Linked DNA regions of Drosophila melanogaster. The protein of the gene in region 2 interacts with the protein of the main gene of each other region in a pairwise test. Each region holds a gene or a part of one and is shown on either strand. Other genes may lie near its edges. The genes, in order: CG18508, Drsl4, CG31600 and CG7407.

What was found.
Region 1: the proteins of Drsl4 (region 2) and CG18508 interact in a two-hybrid assay, tested with the Drosophila melanogaster proteins (one large-scale study listed by BioGRID).
Region 3: the proteins of Drsl4 (region 2) and CG31600 interact in a two-hybrid assay, tested with the Drosophila melanogaster proteins (one large-scale study listed by BioGRID).
Region 4: the proteins of Drsl4 (region 2) and CG7407 interact in a two-hybrid assay, tested with the Drosophila melanogaster proteins (one large-scale study listed by BioGRID).

What each region holds. Positions count from the first base shown.
Region 1 is NC_004354.4:3,171,766-3,174,850, forward strand, and holds CG18508 (uncharacterized protein), read right to left. Parts: upstream 1,376-3,085; 5' UTR 1,280-1,375; intron 1,223-1,279; 5' UTR 1,215-1,222; coding exon 915-1,214; 3' UTR 503-914; downstream 1-502. Other genes in the region: Fcp3C (follicle cell protein 3C), read right to left, coding at 1,645-1,830, 1,903-2,513, 2,578-2,629.
Region 2 is NT_037436.4:3,314,035-3,316,458, forward strand, and holds Drsl4 (Drosomycin-like 4), read left to right. Parts: upstream 1-1,585; 5' UTR 1,586-1,602; coding exon 1,603-1,818; 3' UTR 1,819-1,908; downstream 1,909-2,424. Other genes in the region: Drsl2 (Drosomycin-like 2), read left to right, coding at 341-553; Drsl3 (Drosomycin-like 3), read left to right, coding at 1,000-1,215.
Region 3 is NT_033779.5:21,913,763-21,917,086, reverse strand, and holds CG31600 (uncharacterized protein), read left to right. Parts: upstream 1-1,728; 5' UTR 1,729-1,784; coding exon 1,785-1,829; intron 1,830-1,888; coding exon 1,889-2,071; intron 2,072-2,120; coding exon 2,121-2,285; intron 2,286-2,338; coding exon 2,339-2,647; 3' UTR 2,648-2,818; downstream 2,819-3,324. Other genes in the region: CG11634 (uncharacterized protein), read right to left, coding at 1-682.
Region 4 is NT_037436.4:21,821,894-21,825,112, forward strand, and holds CG7407 (uncharacterized protein), read left to right. Parts: upstream 1-1,567; 5' UTR 1,568-1,638; coding exon 1,639-1,770; intron 1,771-1,832; coding exon 1,833-2,207; 3' UTR 2,208-2,678; downstream 2,679-3,219. Other genes in the region: CycH (cyclin H), read left to right, coding at 113-426, 503-704, 764-992, 1,048-1,159, 1,218-1,335; eIF2A (eukaryotic translation initiation factor 2A), read left to right, coding at 3,145-3,184.

The DNA.
Region 1 (3,085 bases), on a different chromosome or scaffold from region 2:
ATATTGACTAAGCTAAACTGTAAAAAGATTCTCATAACTGTTTGATTTAAGTTGACACATACAAAATACAAAAGGATTTGCAAAAAAAATTACACAAAAATCACCAATGGAAACGTATAAGTCTAATTGAAAGAAAGAAAGAAAAGAAGAAAAAAAAGGAAAAAACCACGAAAAAGACAGTAACCAGCCAAGTTTACTATATATATAAGGACACTCGACGATCTACGATCTAAGTTGATGAAAAGATATTTTCAAAAAATATGCAACAGAAAGAAAAAAAACGCACACACTTAGAGAAAACTGCAAAATACGAATTTTCTCGTTCGATTTGCATTAATTTTAATTTGAACGGTATTGCTTTCTTTCGTCTATATTTTGTGTGTAAGTTTTTAATGTGTAAATTGTAAAATTATTTGTTTTCCTAACTTAAACAGCCAGACAGCAAAACGAAACTGCAAACTTTTTGACATAAATAATAAATATTAAATAATTATTTTAAAAGCCGTGTGTTTATTTCATTAATTATATACATATACAACATATAAAGGCGAATTTTTCAGCTCTGCGTTGTTGCAGCTGGAACAAAGTTTAAATACCATATTTCATATTGGAACTGCGTGGAGTTAACCTTTAACCTTTAACTCTTGACACACACACACACAAACCCGCAGGAAAAGAGCAGTTTTTTCGCGTGTCAAAGTGTACATTTAATTGCAAGTTAATTATACTTTAGACGTTCTTGCCGCTCTTCAAGGGCCACGCCCCCTCCCCCTCCTTTACCAAACGATCGCCGCCCACCACGTTGGATTTGTGTCCTTGTGTTGTGTGCGTTGTGTTTTCCGCTCTTATGTCAAAACATAACAAAAAAAAAAAAATGTACTATGTGTTAAATTACAATATTTGGAACATTTCGACTAGATCTCCTTCTTGGACTCGTCCACTTCCGTTTCCGCTGCCATTGCTGTTGCATTCAATGGCGGATTTTCAGATTCCTCGGCATCGTCATCACTGACGTTCTCCGTCTTCTTGCCGCCCGGAACGAAGGGGCAAACGCCGCCCTTGCACTCGAATGGGAAGTCGGGTCCCTTTTTGATCACATTGCCATCGTCGTCCTTCTTCTCCCAGGGATTCCAGTAGCGCAACAGGATCGGCTGCACAAATTTGTGCCAAATGTACAGAAGCAGTGGAATGATAATACAGGGCACGCAAACCATTGTTCGGGCTTTAAAAATGGTTAGTTATTGGCGTTGCAAGTGATTACAACAATTGCGGAACGTACCTATTTAATGTTAGCTTACTGGCTCCGGAAAAAAAGTATTTCTCGCTTTGATTTCCTTAATTCAACTATTTATTTATTGTCAAAAATGTCAGTGTAGCCAGTTCACTTGTGTTTGGTATTGAGCCTAAAAACGCCACGCATATACTGTTATCTTAAAAAAAAAAAATACGTACTCTCTAGCAAAGAACGCAACCGGTTGGACTAATATAGTCCGGACTCGAACCAAACCGTTTGAAATCTATTAACCCTTATGTGCACACCTTAGCTTTTTTTTTGCTTTTTTTTTTAGATTTTTTAACACCATGCGCATTTACAATACAGTTGAAATTTTGTCATATCATATATTTATTTCATTTGCACAGTGCTTAACCCATCAATGGGCAACGGTAGGGAACGCCAGAGCGACAACAGTACTCCCTGCCCGCCTGCAGATTGGTATTAACCCATTGATTGTGACAGTTCTTGATGAACAAATAGGCCCGTTCCTTGTGACAATCGTGACCCAGTGCGGAGCATACTATATTTGCGGAATTCGGCAGATGTTGTACGATCTAAAATGGACGAAATGGTGAGTTATAGAGCGCTTCTCCTCATCTTTTCCTCCTCGTTTCCCCAGTACTCACCGTCTCTAGGCATTTGGTTTGACACTGCTTGCGACCGATGGCATTGCAGGGAAACATATGATCCAATTCCTGGTGGATAAGTGGCTTTGTCGGCAAGCCATTTGGGATTTGCGAGGAGAGGAAGACGCCGCATGTGCACGGCACTGGCTGATTATCCTGCACAGGCAGTCCCGCTGTCGGTGGCAAGGGAATGGTGCTAACCAGACTGCTGCTGCTCGATGGGTTTGTGCTCATCAGCGGACTCGCGGTGGTTGGCTCCATCGATCGTGTGGATCCTTCCGACGATCCGATGATGGGTGCCTCGCCAACGGTCGTTTCGGTGGTGCCATTGTTACCAATGGTTTCCGTGCTGGCTTCCAATTCGCTTGCGGGCGTTGTCATAATCACAAACTCAACGGCCGTGGGCCAATCCTCTTCGGCTGTTGTGCTGCTACTTGCAACACCAGTGCTGCTCATGGTGCTGGTTTCCAGTTTGACGGGCTTCGTCTTTATACGCTTGTCCTTGATGATGTTGCTATTGCCATAGAGCGGCTTCTTGTAGACTATCTTGGATGCCTCCAAATGGATGGCTAGCAGAAGTGTCAGCAGCAGCAGGGAATTTTTAAAGGCGCCTGATATATGAAATATATACGATATGAAATGTGTTCTTTAGCTAATATTACTTTCAAAGCTTACCCATCTTGGTATCTACGGAAACACTGAATACTTCTGCCTTTGCGCCATCCATTTTATATAAGCCATTTTCTTACTTGGCTTGCAGTTTTTCAAGATTTCGGTCTTCCATTTTAGTCGGCCCCCAACGAAGTTCAAGTTGTGAGAACCGGCAAAATTGTGTCAGGGTTAAGTCTGATTAAGCAGAATTTTCACACAAAGCGAGTGGAATTCATTCATTTGGAGGAAAGTGAGAAGAAAGAAAAAGAATTACTTCCGAAAATTATGCGTAATCAATAAACCCAAAAGTTGTGTCTTGAGCTGCACAAAGTTTACCTTACCGTTCTAAACTACTTTCCAAAATCTTTTTAAATATCCCGCCAAACTGCAATGAAACTGTTATGATTATAATAACATAATGGATAACATAAATAAACGGCCGATTAAACAGCAATTATTATCCAAATTATACAAGTTATAATATGGTAATATTAACAAACATTTCAACATAAGCAAAGCTTTGGTTTTTAAT
Region 2 (2,424 bases):
CCTCTTTGGAGTCGAAATTTTCGATACAATCAGGGGTCACTGGTACTTCCTGATTCCCTGATTCATTTTATCGATTGCAGCAATGGGCAAGATTGCGAGCTCTGCCTCGAGTTTCTTGGAAGCTTATCGAATTCAGATAGGAGCACATGTGTGACATCAAAGTTGAGGCACCTAGCCACTGAGCAAATGCATCACAAAAGATTTTGAAACGTGCTAAAAAAGATTATTGGAAATGCATGGAGGTGGTGTAGTCCTATATAAGCGTCCCCACAAGCTGTCGATACCAAACGTCTTCGAGAACTCAAGTAAAGTACCAGACTCGTTCGGAACATCAGTTGCAATGGTGCAGATCAAATTCCTTTTCGTCTTCCTGGCTGTGATGACAATTGTTGTCCTGGCCGCCAATATGGCTGATGCCGATTGCCTTTCCGGCAAATACAAGGGTCCCTGCGCCGTCTGGGACAACGAGATGTGCCGACGTATTTGCAAGGAGGAGGGACATATCAGTGGCCACTGCAGTCCCAGCCTGAAGTGCTGGTGCGAAGGATGCTGAATCCATACTATATCCATTTGAAATGTGTATATTGAATATTTCATTCTAAACAAATAATATATAAATATAAAGGCCTCTTACGCTTATCACTCATACGCACTGTTGTCTTTTAATTTCCTGTATGGCAATGTGTTAGGAGAAGTGAATGTTTACATACATCATTAAATCGAAAAGATAGCAATTCTAGGTAAATAACTTATTATGATAACGATGCATTTTTAAATCAATGAAGTTGACACATGGCACACATAAATCAAGTGTTTCTGGAAAACTAGGATTATATCGGTTATTGTTAGCTTGAATTTCCGAGAAGCTTATCGATTGCTACGATCAAATAAAAAATCTTAAAATCTGTATCTCTATATAAGCGTCCCCACGAGTGGTCGATGCCAAAAGTCTTTAAGAACTCAAGTAAAATTCCCGACTCGTTGAAAACATCAGTTGTCATGGTGCAGATGATATTCCTGTTTGCTATCCTTGCTGTAATGACCATTGTCCTAATGGAGGCCAACACTGTTTTGGCACGTGATTGCCTATCTGGAACTTTCGGAGGTCCTTGCTGGGCCTGGAGTGGAGAAAAGTGCCGCCGTCTCTGCATTGAGGAGGGACATGTCAGTGGACACTGCAGTGGCGCAATGAAGTGCTGGTGCGAAGGATGCTAGATCCACTGCAGTTCAAAAGTGCATGCTGTTTTTTTGTTTATTCTGAGCCAATAATAAATATACTGTACACCGCACAGTAAAAGGCACGTAAGCATTGCCTTTCAGGAGTTATCTCTTGATTTGATTTAATATGTATGTGGTAAGTATATTAAACAAAAAGGTGCATCAACATCAAGAAGGTATAGCAATTCTATCATCCCAAAATAGCGATGCGCGTTTTGTCGCGTAAAAGGCCCAAAAGTATGCCTTTCGAAAGTTATATTGCAGTTATTTGCATTTTCACCTTTATGCTAATCGGTTAATATACAAATTCTGTACCTATATAAGAGTGCAGTCGGACTCAAGAAACTCAAAAGTAAAGATTTTAACCAGAAGAACATTCTAATAATGGCTCAAATTAAAGGATTGTTTGCTCTCCTCGCTGTGGTGACCATTGTCCTAATGGTGGCCAACTCGGCTTCGGCCGTGGATTGCCCATCTGGAAGATTCAGTGGTCCTTGCTGGGCCTGGGATGGAGAGCAGTGCCGTCGCCTCTGCAGGGAGGAAGGACGTGTCAGTGGACACTGCAGTGCCAGTCTGAAGTGCTGGTGCGAACAATGCTGAGGATCCTCATCGTCCAATATGTTTGACACATATGTGTGTCATATGTTTTTTATTGTTTTGAAAAGAAAAATAAAGAATATACTTCACAGCAAATAATACAGTTTTATTTCTACTTAAAGAACGAATCCTTTTAAAATCATAAATTTACTTCGAAAATGAGATTTATAATGGAATGGAAGAAATAATTAAATGATAAATAATCAGAGTTAACTTCAATAGAAAGCTAAAATTCATTTAGAAAGAAGTGGAATATATAATTCAACTCATAATAAGCATTTAAGAAAAAAAAAGCATAGACTATTTCAGTCTTAACAAGAGTTGGAAAGGCCATTTTCATTTATGAACACAAATCTTCATTTACCAGCACCCATATCACTTTATGGGAAATAAAGATAATCTTGTCATGTTAATATTTCCAACAAATTATCAACCGTGTTACATCGAAAAGTGCAAGTTTGGTGTTTGAATCCGGTTCTGGGTTTTCCTAACAAACTCGACAGTTTTACAATTTATGAATAAATTTAATTAATGAAACTGGTTTAATTAGTTTCCTAGAAGTCTCGTGATAAATGGCACATTGCATAAAATCAATGTCGGCAGATTATT
Region 3 (3,324 bases), on a different chromosome or scaffold from region 2:
AATAGGACGAGCTGAGGGCCGCCACGAGATCGTAGCATCCAGTTAGCGTTTCGTTCCAAATGGAGACGGATGCGAAGGCCAACGATTCGCACTGACTTATGGCAATGGCCTCCTGGTTATTGCGGAATGTGTGAAATGTTACTACTCCAGTTGGGTAACTTCCCAGCTTATCGTGCGTACAGTCACACACAAAAATGGGTGAAGCCATTGGTGGGGCAACCTCCGAAATGCAGGCCCTTATTATGTTAAAGTTGGAGGTGTGGCATTTCTCCAGTGCTGCCAGATAGCTAGGATGTTCGGCCACAAACTTACTAAGAGGATGTAGCTTAGACAGGATTCGCTCGACGATCTCCCCGCGAATTTTCTCTTCAACCAGAACCATGGCCACCGCATTCGAGGCAAAGGGATTATGAACCGACTCAATAATAAAGTGCAGTGCACTGTTGATGTCGCCTTCTTCAAATATAATCATCAATTGGGGAGATGAAGTGACATCGTGTCCTATATGCCGGTCAGCTTCCGATGTCATTTCGATGACACTGTGATCAGGTGATCTTCCCTCCGGGTTATGGACCATATCGTAGGTGACGACATGATCCAGTGACAAGGACTCATTGTGCTCCGACTGGGACGGATGCTCGGAATCAACTGAACGCGGAAAGTATTTAGTTGTATCGAACATGGCTTATCAAAAACTTCACTGTAATGTAAAAAATTTGTTTTTATATATTTTGAGATTTATTTGAATGGCAAACGCGATTGGATATGATTAAATGAAACATTTCTGACACATTTTCATATTTCAATTATTTTGTTATTTTTTTTAATCTACCAGGAATTCTAATATCACTTGAGTACTAAGTACTAAACCGCTCAATGCGGCGCACTCTGAGTCCTAACCATCGGCATTTATCAAAAGCAATATAGTTTTACTGGCCCCTTCCATCCATTGCCACATCGAGGGAATTCAAAAGAGCACCCATAACCCACGGTGCCCCTTATTTGTTAATCGCTTAATTTATGATCAAATGCGACAGTAAAATTAAAATATCACAAACAGATACAAAACACCAAAGTATTTAGCCATCGTCCAAATAGAATGCCAGAAATGCATTGGATTTGTTGAAATTAGCATTAATAATTATAAATATTTTGCCAAAATATTACAATTTTTATTGTGCATTTCGAACTACACCCTTTTTGACTTACAACAAAGAGCATACGATTATGAAATAACAGAACAGAGCCAACAGCGACAATTAAAATATTTAAAGCCACAGAAATATTTTTTCGCATGGCCCATTGGCGAACTGAAAACCCACAACAAAAAGTGCGTAGTAAATTTCCTAACGAGTTGAGGGACATCCATGTGGACATCAAGTGCAGCAACAATACAGCCATATACGGAATGATAATTTTGCTAACGATGACCATTTACATATATCAAGAGTAATTATAATAAAATGCCGAAAATAAAATTAAAATTAATATAGAAAGCCGATTATAAAATCATGTTTATACCTACAAACAGTTATCGCACACACTCTCATTCGTTGTAGCAAAAACAACTGTCAAAAATAGCAAATCCCATAAATCAACAATGAAATTTTGCCAGAAAAAAGGAATTGAAACACAAATAGAAAAACCTGCGTGATTTCGTATACATACATAATTGGGAAAACAAAAATTTGAATTTATGTGGTAGGCCATTATTTCCAGCTTCGAATATTTTGTCAATTTGCGTAGAATAAAATTGAGCTACGTATATTAAAATAATTCTCAAAATGGTAGAGGGCATGATAAAAAAGCTAACTGCTATTTTATTTGGGGTAAGTATTTAATCAGCAGCCCGTCTTCAAGTTTTTACTGACAACTTTTCTACACTTAGCTTGTATTGGCTGTGTTATTTCGAGTAATTATACCCTTTACTCTGCGACTTAAAAGCGCTGAAATAACCATTAATGTGCTTAACTGTTTTAATTTTCTAACAAGTACCGTTTCCATTACCATTTGCCTGAATTTGGTCAGCCTATACTTAGCCAATTTGCGTGATGATTGGCTTGTTCTCGGGGTAAGGACTTTACCAAAAAAAAAACGTGAGGTTGATAATTGTAAATTAGCTTATACCGCTGCAGATACTCGTCCTTCATTGGACTTACTTCACAATTTCAAAACAACTAGAAGCCATGAACAGGAGCTATAGTACATTCATGGATAGCTTAAACCTTAAATGGCTGGCATACTCCAATTTTAACGAGACAGATTGGCCTTCGATTGAAAATGCGGTATGTGTTATGCCTTTGCTCATTTGCCCTTTCAAGGGTTTTGCTTTTCACAGGTTTTATGCTGTGGACTGGAGGGTCCCCGTTCTTATATGGATTATCTACAAGGGGTTCCAACCCACTGCTACCATCCCGACCTTATCACCCAAGGTTGCAGTGACTTTGTTAAAAACATTTTTATGCCGATACAACATATAAGTCATTTGCAGCTCAGATTGGCTATTTTTGTGGAACTGGTAATTTTACTTATTCTTGCTGCAACGCTTTTGAAGAAATGTATTTCTTTGATCGGCGAAAGGAAACATAAAAGAGTTATTACACACGGGCTTGCGGTACTAATAGATTTAGTTAAAAACACATTTTGAAACATTAGCCTTATTAACCCTAACCAAATACTACTACTCTATACACTACCATGTAACCATTCTTGAGTACTAAATGCAGTTTCTTGTAATGTTTGTATTGTTTTAATCTATGCCACTGTATTGCATACAATATGTAGATGACAAATCGAAATGGAACAAAGAAATAAATTGAAATAAGCTGTCTTTTATTGCCGATGACAATTTGAATAAAATTAATATACAGTTTATCCTATTTTTAATTAATAAATGTCAAACATTTTGCGAGTATTGAGTATGAGTATTTAATTGTCTGATTTGTAATTTGGTTTTTTCCTGTTGTCTTTTTGTCATGGAAAATTGGTTTTGTTATAATTCGTTCGATGAGTACGAAAAAAGTTTCAAATGGCGAATGGAGTGGTAATAGGGTAGCGGAAACACACTTTGGTCTTGTGCAGCGGAAACGGAAGTGAGTATTAGAAGGCAAAATAAACTTTCGGAATGGAAAAACAATTCACATTAAGCAAAACGTACACATTTTTGACAATTCCATACCGTTATTATTGGTCTGAAAATGTACCGGTTTGCTTTTCCAAATTATAATTTATTGTCTTTTTTGGTTTAAAAATGTATATAGATAATATCAGGAAATCAATTGTGGAAAATGCATGAACGAAGGCGTGACCTAAGGTAGATGTATG
Region 4 (3,219 bases), about 19 Mb from region 2:
AATCACCCTAATATTTTTTCACAACTGGTATTTTTCTCCGTCCCGCAATCGGTAACACCATGCAGGGTGTCTGAGTTTCGAATCGGCATAAATTCGCCGGCAGCTGAGCAAGATGTATCCTGTGAGCTCGCAAAAGAGGTCCTGGACATTCGCCAATGAGGGCCAGCTCATGGAGTTCCGCGTGGAGCAGAACAGCAAGTACATCGAGTCGCACGAGGAGGAGGCGCAGGGTCGCGACCTCAATGAGCACTTTCTCACGTCGGCGGAGGAGCGCCTGTTGCTGAAGCAGTACGAGATCTACCTGTTCGATTTCTGCCGCCGCTTCGAACCGACGATGCCCAAGTGCGTTGTGGGCACGGCCTTCCACTACTTCAAGCGGTTCTATCTGAACAACTCCCCCATGGACTATCACCCCAAGGAGATTCTGTAGGAACGCTCACCTGAGAGCAGCAAACACCCAGCTGAAAAGCAAAACATTCTAAAAATGTATAAACCTTTTCAGAGCCACATGCGTGTTCGTTGCCTGCAAAGTTGAGGAGTTCAACGTGTCCATCAACCAGTTCGTAAACAACATCAAGGGCGACAGGAACAAGGCCACCGACATAGTGTTGTCCAATGAATTACTGCTGATTGGACAGCTCAACTACTACCTCACCATACACAATCCGTTCAGACCCATCGAGGGTTTCCTGATAGATATAAAAGTGCGATATATATTCACATTTGCTCTCCAGATTGTTTCGTTCATATTGGTTTGTTTCAGACTCGCAGCAATATGCAGAATCCAGATCGTCTGCGGCCACATATTGATAGTTTCATTGATTCCACGTACTACTCGGATGCCTGTCTTCTGCATACGCCTTCGCAAATTGCATTGGCTGCCGTCCTCCACGCGGCCAGCAGAGAGCAAGAGAATCTCGATAGCTATGTGACGGATCTTCTGTTTGTCTCCGCCAGGGAGAAGCTACCCGGACTCATAGATGCCGTGCGAAGTAAGTTTGTGCTGTGAGATGGTGCGCCCAGCCCTACATGCCTTTTTCCCGACAGAAATTCGCATAATGGTGAAGCAATATCAGCAGCCCGATCGGGAGAAGGTCAAGGCCATCGAGAAAAAGTTGGACAAGTGCCGAAATCAAGCCAATAATCCTGATAGCGAACTGTAAGACGCCCTAATTTGTTCATGCATTCCGAATTTAATAACCCTTATACTTTAAAAGCTATAAGGAGCGCCTACGCCGATTGTACACCGATGAGGATGACATGCCCGCCGAAGATGCCTCATTCCACATTGCAGATGTGAGCTCGGACACATCTGCTATGAACATCAGCCAATAGACTTAAGAATATTTATTTAAATGATGTGATGATCTACTACTGCGTGGATTTCATCGATATTAAAGCATTTTGTAATTTACCATTTCTTGATTGTTAAAATGTATGCGTTTAGTGTTAGTTTACTAAACAAAGTTGGATTAGGTACTTCACTTTTCCAATATATAAAATATTAAAAAAAAAACCTTTTGAAAATCCGCTTAGCGCTGCTTGGCAATATTTCGTTCGCAGCTAACGGCCACACTGCGCCCCAAGAAAAACAAGAATAGTGAACTCAGTCACAACAAATAGCAAAAAGAGTTCGAAATGCAGGATTTTCTGCCTTCGCTGGATGTTCTCTTTCTTGGACTACCAGGCCACTACTCGGTAGCGCTGGTCACCCTTCTGCTGTGCGTTTTGGTCGCCTTCTACTTCGCCAACATCTTCAAGGACAAAGGCGTGGGTGTTTTTGCCGGAAGAAGTAGACGTCTCCTGGAATATTTCCTTACATTATCTTGCAGGAACTGGAGGACGAGGGCCTGGGGGCCGACGAGCCGCGCGATGAGGAGGATTCCGAGTCACGGACTCCGCAAGGGGAGGAAACCGACGATGACGAGGCCTACGAAGAGAACTCCACCGAAAGCGAAGTTGAGCTAATCGAGGAACAGCTGCCCGAGCACAGCTACAACCACCTGATGGGCCAGCTCAAGGCCAAGAGGCTCCAGCATAAGATGGAGAAGACCCTGACTCCCAGCCAAATCGAGGAGGAGCGCCGAATAGAGCGCGAGCAGCTGGCGGCCATCTTTGAGCTCCTGCGCAAACAGGAGGCGGAATTGAACCTCCAGGACCGAATAAGCGACCAGGATCTCAAGCAGCAGGTGCGGCTCTATCGCTGAAGTGGCGCCGAGCCTGGGCTCACCCTACCTGAATGTACAGACTTGTGTGATCTATTAGTTTAATGTTTAAAATTCCAAGATTTGGTGTTGCCTCATACGGTCCACTAAGTGCGGGCAAGTCTTTAGTCAGAGAGCTATCTCATCAGTCGATGATGTCGGAATATAATATCTTAGTTGTATGTAAATTATATGTATTCCACTTCGATCTATGTATTTTGTGAGTTCCTGGTGTTATTAATATCTGATTTAGATTTGTAGTAAATGGCTGTTCGGCTCTTAGTCTCTTAAATCAGCTTTCGAATTAAGAATATATGTATATATTTTAACGTGTTACAAGATAAAAACTCGCGATCAGAAAGTGTATAGATTTAAACACAATTAATCGCCAAATTCGTTGGTTAGATTTAAATTGTGTTCATATAACTTTGGATTTATTTGTTCAATAAAGAATGTTTAGCTGTGTTAAGATGTAATATATACTCTAAATATTTCCTACCGTTTCCTAGCCAAATATCCGAAAATAACCGCTCATATTTTATATGCCGCGATTGGATTTTTGAAAATAATTGTTCTAACATATAGATTCCATCAGCACACCTTCGATTGGAGCAGTCGAAATGCTTAGCGTTTCTGTTCCAAATTTTTTAGTACTAAAATGTTTTTAAATTCACGTGGAGCAGATATTTTGTTGGAGTTCTAAATACGTTCGGTTTGGTTTGGTTGATGTTTAAACGTGTCGTTGTGGCGCCAATGCCCATGCATGTTTACTATCGCTTATCGATACACCGCGTACACGGCAACCGTGTGTGACCAATTCAAGCACGAAATCGTTGACCAACACTGATTGTACATCAGACGACACGACAACAAAAACAACAGCAACAACACCACCGACGTGCTTGTTCCTGTGTGTGTGTGCGTGTGAGATTGGAAGACAATGGCTGCAGCTGCGGATCTGGTTGTTCCTACCCTTGCCAGTGAGTATAGCCCGGATGCAATCCCCGCCAGGTGG